2 linked regions of the Danio rerio genome follow. The protein of the gene in region 1 purifies or fractionates together with the protein of each later gene. This does not show direct contact. Links are inferred from orthologs where the notes say so. Each region holds a gene or a part of one and is shown on either strand. Other genes may lie near its edges.

Region 1 (3,824 bases):
ATCTAAACAAATCTAAATCTTTTTTCCTGCAAAGTTCCAAGACACCAGAGGGCGCCAAATTGCAACTAGTGTGAAATGGACATCTAATGCATTTCATTTTTAATCTTGCAGGAAATATAGATGCCATATAACGATGCACTATGTATTTATTAATTGCATAATCTCCCCCACCTCAAGGAAAGTCAGACATCAGTGGAACAATGAAGGGTTGCTGTAGAGAGATGAGGTCTATGTTTTGTATGTTTGCACAGACAGGAAGGCTGAAAGTTCGACAGTTTCTGAAGACTGTTGGATGGAGAGCCTTGCAGCTGCTGAACATACAGCGTGATTTTGTGATGGCATTAGGGCTAGAGACAGGTACAGTGCAGGTATGGAGACTAACGGCATGTCTGAACGGCATTCACCCTGACAGCGCTTTTTATTTACAACGTCACAATTTAATTTAACCCACAGAAGTGTTAAATTAAAAACCTAAATGCAACTTCCCACAAAAAAAGTGGCACATTGGAACATCATGAAATCTTTGAGCACCAAATCGGCTTATTTCTGAAGTGAGTGTTGTCGTTAATGCTGACACAGTTATTTGTGTGTTCTGCACAGATTTATCCGTGACTTGTAAATCTGCATTTTGACAGCATTTGATCCCGCAGTGCCGCTCGCGCTAAACCAGAACAGCAGCCCGCAAGCGCAAATACCTCTTATTTACTCTCCAAAAACACAGCGCACGCTCCCGTGGCCCCAGGCAGCTTTTGAAGTTTGAGTTTTGAAGCTTCAGATGCAGCACCTTTCTGAATGGCAGACACACGAGCGTGCTCCCATAAAACACTTTTAATCATATTTGGAGGAATGTGGAACGAACTGCTCAAGTTTGAGATTATCGCTATAGATGGATGGCTATTATTAGCGCTTCCTGTATTTAAACGTTCAATGCAGTTCAGGATTTTGAGGTCTTTTAGATGCAAACTGTGTATTAAATTTGTTAAATGGTCATTTTATTTTTGTCTTGTTACCATTGCATTGGAACAGTGTTTAATATTGAATTTTTCTTTGTGTGAAGGTGATTGAGGTTCCTTCTTCAAAGGCATCAGTGAAGCTTTCAGGCCACACTAAGACTGTTCACCACTGCCAGTTCACTGACGACTGTGAAATCCTTATAACATCCTCAGAAGATTCCACTATCCGGGTAATTTCTTTCTCTTTTTTCTTTTTAGAACAGAGAGAGGAGAAAGTGATTTAAATGGCATTTTGCATTGTTTTCATTAGGATGTTGTTTTTTTGTTGGATGCTTTATTGTACAAGTTAGTTTTTGCATTATCGTCTGGCTGTGATGCGTTAAATGACACGTCCGCTGATTTGCAGGTGCAGTTTAGTAATTGCACCACATGCTCAAAGTTGTGCTGCAGCTGTTCTGAGAGTTGGAGAAGTTTTAGACACTGAATCATCACAAGCCTCGTTGATTCATTGTATTTTTGATGACAAGCAGTGGATGCGGGAGGGAGAGAAACACTTTAGTAATTGATGATTGTGAACAGCTGCATGCACATTGAAATTCTGCAAAAACAGAGGGTGATGAATGTTAATACGGTTTAAGAATTTTTGTAGTAGAATGCTCATCACAGACTGAAAGTCAGTATTTGAATACACAATGCATGGGCTTACAGGGGATGGGCCTATTATAACGTAGTAGTAGTATAAAATGTGACTTTTAAATGTAGAAAAAATGCTTCAAGGTTTGTTGACTGCTGCTGACTGGTTAATTAGTTTTGAAACAAAACAGTAATAGGCAAGCTGCAGATTCAGTTCAAAAGACACTGTAAACAAGGCCTTTTAAATTGACATCCTCCAGAAGTGCTGCGTAGGTCAGCAACCAAATTGCAAAATGAATTCAGAGATCTGAAAATGGAGTTCATTTTAAATGTGGAGTCCACATTTTAAAGCACTCGTTTAAAATGAAAATGAAACCAACATCAGCAAGTGCACTCATTTACGTAGGTTTCACGGTGCACCAAACAGAGGAAAACTTCTGAACCCACTTGGAAAAATACAGTAGTACTATATAGTAGTAAATATATATTTGTAAGTATTTGAATCTCAAAGCCTCAGTATTCACGGAAGATGTGTGTATGTCTGCAGGTGTGGAAGTGGAGGACCGGCGAGTGTATGGTGCTGCAGGGTCATATGGAGCCGGTCAGGAAGTTTCACCTCTTGAGCTCTTCATCTTCTCCTCGTCTGTTCTCATGGTCGTTTGATGGCACAGTTAAGGTAAACCATCTTTGCCTCATTCTCTGATTTCCAAAAAAAAATCTTTGCAGCATGTGGAGCTTGAAAGATGACGTCAAGACCTCATTTAGCTCCATTTCAATGGACTGCATTGCTTTTAGAGCAAAATCATGGTTATCGAGGCCAAACTTTGGACAGAAAGCAGAGCTAACAATGATAATTAGGTGATGCATGCAGTTAATTACTTGTAAAGAGGTTTTTAAAATCTCCCAAACAGACGTTTTGGTTTGTTCATGGCGATTGTAGTCAGGGATTTTGGGGGAAATTGGTGTGGGTCAAATCTTCATGTAAATATCAATAAATAGGGCTCAAACTTGACAAGTTTTTAACAGTTTATGGAAAGAGGATCTAAAGTTGGTTGATTTTAAAGATCTAGGTAAATTACAGTGAGTTTTCACTTTTAGTTGATATGAGGTTTAAATGTGCATGTGTGTTAATAGCAAAATAGAGTAGACTACCTTATGAGCATGCTGATGTAATGTTTATTGGTAAAATCCTTGTAAATGTGGCCAAGTCTTAAATATTAATTTTAGCTTATTGAATGTCATGTACATGTAACAAAAGTTAAGATGTTCCTTTTAAAGTTCTTGCATAATGGTGGAGAAAATCAAGAAGCATTTAGTCCAAATGAATTGAGTTTTCCTTGTATTAGGCAAACACTGCCGGTGGGAAAAGAAAAACAATCCTATTTCCAACCAAAAAAAAAACTTGCTTCATGATTTGTTTTTAGATCCTTTTCTTAGTTTGTCTCGTTTCTAGTAAAAGTGAGTAAAATTGTTATATTGTGAGGTTGTTTAACTGAAAATATCAAACTATGACGTGGCAACTATCTGTAATGTTAAGTTAGTAATTGAATTTTTAGATTGAACCATTTACATTTTTATATGGTTTAGATTGAATTGTGGGACGTTACACCATATTTTTATAAAGTGCCTTCTGCTTTTTGTTTGTAGGTCTGGGATTTGACCAGAGGGCAGATGCTGCAAGACCTCGTGTGTCATGAGGGTGCCGTCCTGTCATGTGATGTGTCCTCTGATGGACGCCTCTTTGCCACCACCTCAGCTAATAGGACTGCTAAGGTCAGAGAGAGCACAAAGCAAACAAGATATCCTTCACATTATTCTCTTCAGCTTCAGCTGCCTGTGTGTTTAGATCCTGGACTCTTACTGTGCGAACACCTGCTCCTGTTACACTGCTAGTTTTTGAACGCTCTGCTGGGTGAATATCTGGAGTGTCATTACTGAACCCAGGATGCTTGCGTGAATGACGGCATGTACAGCCAAACTCTGCTTAATTACCTCTGTGTGAGCAGTACAGAGCCTCCGTAATGCGCGCACATCTTCTGTTGGAGGTGTCCGAGGTCAGAGTCCAGTCCGCTCACACGAGTGTGTAATGAGATGAAGTTCACTCGCTCCATGTGACGCCGCCTTTACCAGAAGAGCTTTCTATAATGAGACGCCATGTTCTCGTCTGTCTGCCAGAACTTCTCAATCACAGAGTTATGGCAAAGCTGATCAGAGAATAATTCTTGCCAAATGGATCTG
Region 2 (3,937 bases), on another chromosome or scaffold:
TTACAATCAACATTTTAAATGCTCTATAAAGTGTATTAAATATATTAATGTGACCATTATCTTTGTCCTCACTATTTATCATATAATATAATTTATCATGCCATATAATAAGTTTTTATAAAATGTATATTTTAGTTTGTGACCACTTGAGGGTGAGTAAATGATGACAAAGTTTTCATTTTTAGCATTTCTGTCACTTTAACCATATTCAAAACAGCATAAATAAGTATGAACTTGCATATAAAGATGTACAATAAGGTGGAAAACTAATTGAATGTATCATGAATTAAAACTAAAAAACATTCATTAAATTCAAACAGTAAAAGTAAAAAATTGTATAGTCGTAAACACAAACACACACACACACACACACACACACACACACACACACACACACACCTTGACAGAATTTAGAGGTGGCTCAGTGCAGTCTTAACTTGTTGGTCAGAGTTGCCTTATAGAAGTTTGTAACATGCAACAATGGCAAATCCCTTTTGAATGTGTTCTGTAGCCTCAAGGCTCTAACCGGTTAGGTTTCATTTTCATCTAAAGGTCCAGTTATGGAAGATTTATTAATCACTTTGAGGTCAAAATGAGGAATTAATGACAACAGACTGCAATGGCAACAAGAAGGTCAAATGATTTTTTGGGCACGTGTCAGAAGGAGATTCAGTATAGACCTTCAATAAATTTAAATCTGCGCCATTTGTAATGTTGGTGTCTAGTTTTAAAACATATTAGTGTTGGAATTTAAGAAAACCTGTTCATATGTGTGTTTCCAAATGAAAAGGGAGCACTTCATCAAGCAGTTCTCCTTGAGAGACCGCTAACAGGTAGGCTAATCTTCATGAAAAGCTGTACAGTTATGTACATCTGTCCAGACCATTTGTCATTCCTGTCAGTCACATGAGAGTAAAGCATTTATAACCTTTCGTTTATGAGTCAACCTGCTACCTTCAGGTGTTATTGACTGGGAAACACCAGATGAACAACAAACCTGAAAAACGAGTCTTCACAGCAGCACTTCTCGTGCACATTTTCCCGCGAACCAGAATCGTGTGAATGGATAGCCTACGTGATAAAAAATCCCTGACACGCTGCCAAAAGCTCATGTGACGCGACGTCAGTGTCACATTAGAGCATACGCGTGTACAGAAGAGGTACACCAGTTCTTGCGTGCCGCTACATGACACTTTCAATGTTAAATAAATGTAATTTATAAAATATGCTTTTGTGATGTTATAATAGTCACTGATATGTTTCAGTTTCTCGTTAATTATTTGCACCTTATTCAATTAATTAAAATAAAGGTAAATGTTTCCTGAGAGAAAAAAAGTAGCCTAGGAAATAATCTCGAAAGCATGCGTCAAGGTTAAACGTCTTTTTGTGTGCCCTTTATTCTAAAATGAACTATATGCTACAATTATATAGCTACTGCATGTACAAAAACCGTCTAGACTCTGAACTCCTTTTATCTAAGAGCGATTATCTCTTTCAAAGCGCTGCCTGTCACAACACCATAGATGGATCTCCAGAACAGCTGCTGCGCCGTGAGCAGATTCGTCAAGAAGAGGCACGTGACCGCTTTAGTCAGCGCATGATTGTGACGTCAAACACCGGAGCCTGCTCGCGCCTCTAAAATGAAGTGACCTTTCTCTTTCGCCCTGATATAGAATCGGTCCGCCGACCGGCAAGAGAGGAGTACTTATCAAGAACGACAATTACCTACACAGTCTAAAAGGTAACATTTTTTGAATCTGTCACGTAGTGTTGAGATCTGCTCGGCGTTTTGTGTCATGTATGTGAAATTTATACATAATGGAGGATTTTTATAGCGGTTCCTTGGAAGGGTGGCGTAAGGTTGCGTAAGCTTACCGGTAACATTACTCCTCAAGAACAACTGAACGCCAGGGAAGAATTATATGATTTGGTATGAAGTAGTGTTACTTTTAATTATATTAAAATATGAGAACTGTGCGTTTTTGATAAAAACCCACACATTCTGTTTAGTAACTCAACAGAATGAGTGGGTTTAATAGGAGGTTAGCCTGATGTGGCTAACTGCTAGCGTCCGCAACGTGGATCTGAAGCCGGTTTACGACTTCAGCTGAATTCTTTGAAATAAACATTGCTTATCTCAGGCAATTCTGACGAGTTAAAAGGAGATTTGTCACACAAACTCTAATCCGGCTGCTTGTTCATTTTAAGCTAGTTCTCACAGGGCGATCTCTAATGAGCCACACATCAGTGATTAAGGCTTTCTTTAATGAAGGCGATTTAAGGTTATCCTCGGATGAGCACTTTGATGCCGAGATGTTTACAGGTACTAATCGCCAAGGATTAGTTGTCAGAGAAACGTGCTTCTCCATCTATAAAATGCTAAGATTATTTACTTCATAACGAGAGAAGGTCTAACCTCATAAGCTGTTTTGGGGCTTGTTTTGTGTCCTGAGCTGATAAAGGATGCTCCATCCTTGAATGACCTTCTAATGATGTCCTTTCAAGTGTCAGTGTGTTCACCTCTCATTTCACTTCCAGGTAAATATGGGTGACGTTGAAAAGGGCAAGAAGGTGTTCGTCCAGAAGTGCGCCCAGTGCCACACCGTTGAAAATGGAGGCAAGCATAAAGTGGGGCCAAATCTCTGGGGTCTTTTCGGTCGCAAGACTGGTCAGGCTGAGGGATTTTCCTATACAGATGCTAACAAGAGCAAAGGTAAGGCTGATTTGGCGAATACGCATTTTCTTACGATGAGATGGACTCGCTTAACAAATCTTATTATTTTGCACAGGCATTGTCTGGGGTGAAGATACCTTGATGGAATATTTGGAGAACCCAAAGAAATACATTCCAGGCACAAAGATGATCTTTGCCGGGATCAAGAAGAAGGGCGAGAGAGCAGATCTTATTGCATACTTAAAGTCGGCCACATCATAATTCAGCTGGAGATCGAGGAAACGGCAATATTTAAATTAAATGTTTGTAGTTTGGATTTGAATGTCTTTAACTAACTATTATTCATATGGTGTAACTGAACACGTGGCCAGGGTTATTCATTATAACATGTGGCATGCTTCTAAAGCCGGTCCATTTTAACAGTGAAGATTTTCTTCTTTTTTGTTCGTCCATGTATGGTTAAAGGAAGAGTAAAGTTACTGCAGGTCCCTAGTGTTTCCGCTGAGGGAATGAAAACTGTCCCCTGGTTTCACAGGAGCTGTCGTACGTTAAATTATTAAGATGTGCTGAACCTAGTAAGTATTTGGATTGGAATGAGCGACTGGGAAATCAGTTTGCTTATTGGTAACATTGTATCAAATGGATTTGAACTGTCAAATAAAACGGTCAAAATAGTCAAATGTATGTCTATTCTGTTAGTTTCTCATATTCTGATGCTTGCTTGTGCAGCTAACAATAAAGTGCACTTTTTATTTTAAAGTATTACTCTTTGACCTTCAGTTTTAATGTAGTAAACCGGCAGATGACTCCATGTACTGGGACCTTTAAACTCTCAGGGTATAAAAATTGTCAGGTATGCTCTCGTGCTCCTCTGTGTAATTTCAGGGCAAGTCTTGACAATTTCCACATAGAGGCAGCATGTTTATCAAGATTTTCATGATTGTCTTAGAAAGCTAGTCTGCCTGATAAGGAAGTATTGGTCCCTCAATGATGAGTACAATTATTTTATCAGGAAATTGAACATCTATTGCAGTGCCATAAACAATAACATTAAAGAATTACATTACTGCAAAATTCAATAACACTAAAGTGCACTCCAATTCAGTTATGCGTTTGAATAATTAACATGTTTTTGTTTCTTACTGTCCTCTTTTTTTCAGCTATATTACATCCAACTTATGGATTATGAATCTATAATAATTGTAAAAGTTTAGAAGAAAGCATGCATTAATGTGTAATAACTTAATTTAATGGCATATGCAA

Evidence for each region.
Region 2: the proteins of apaf1 (region 1) and cycsb purify together in Homo sapiens (affinity purification with western blotting; 3 studies listed by BioGRID and IntAct, with this or other methods). This does not show direct contact. The link is inferred for Danio rerio from reciprocal best matches to the Homo sapiens genes APAF1 and CYCS.

The regions. Positions count from the first base shown.
Region 1 is NC_133179.1:18,446,425-18,450,248, forward strand, and holds part of apaf1 (apoptotic protease-activating factor 1), read left to right. Parts: intron 1-251; coding exon 252-368; intron 369-1,057; coding exon 1,058-1,183; intron 1,184-2,133; coding exon 2,134-2,262; intron 2,263-3,233; coding exon 3,234-3,359; intron 3,360-3,824. UniProt on the Homo sapiens protein: Oligomeric Apaf-1 mediates the cytochrome c-dependent autocatalytic activation of pro-caspase-9 (Apaf-3), leading to the activation of caspase-3 and apoptosis. This activation requires ATP. Isoform 6 is less effective in inducing apoptosis.
Region 2 is NC_133181.1:11,868,652-11,872,588, reverse strand, and holds cycsb (cytochrome c), read left to right. Parts: upstream 1-1,666; 5' UTR 1,667-1,741; intron 1,742-2,538; 5' UTR 2,539-2,544; coding exon 2,545-2,713; intron 2,714-2,789; coding exon 2,790-2,935; 3' UTR 2,936-3,346; downstream 3,347-3,937. UniProt on the Homo sapiens protein: Electron carrier protein. The oxidized form of the cytochrome c heme group can accept an electron from the heme group of the cytochrome c1 subunit of cytochrome reductase.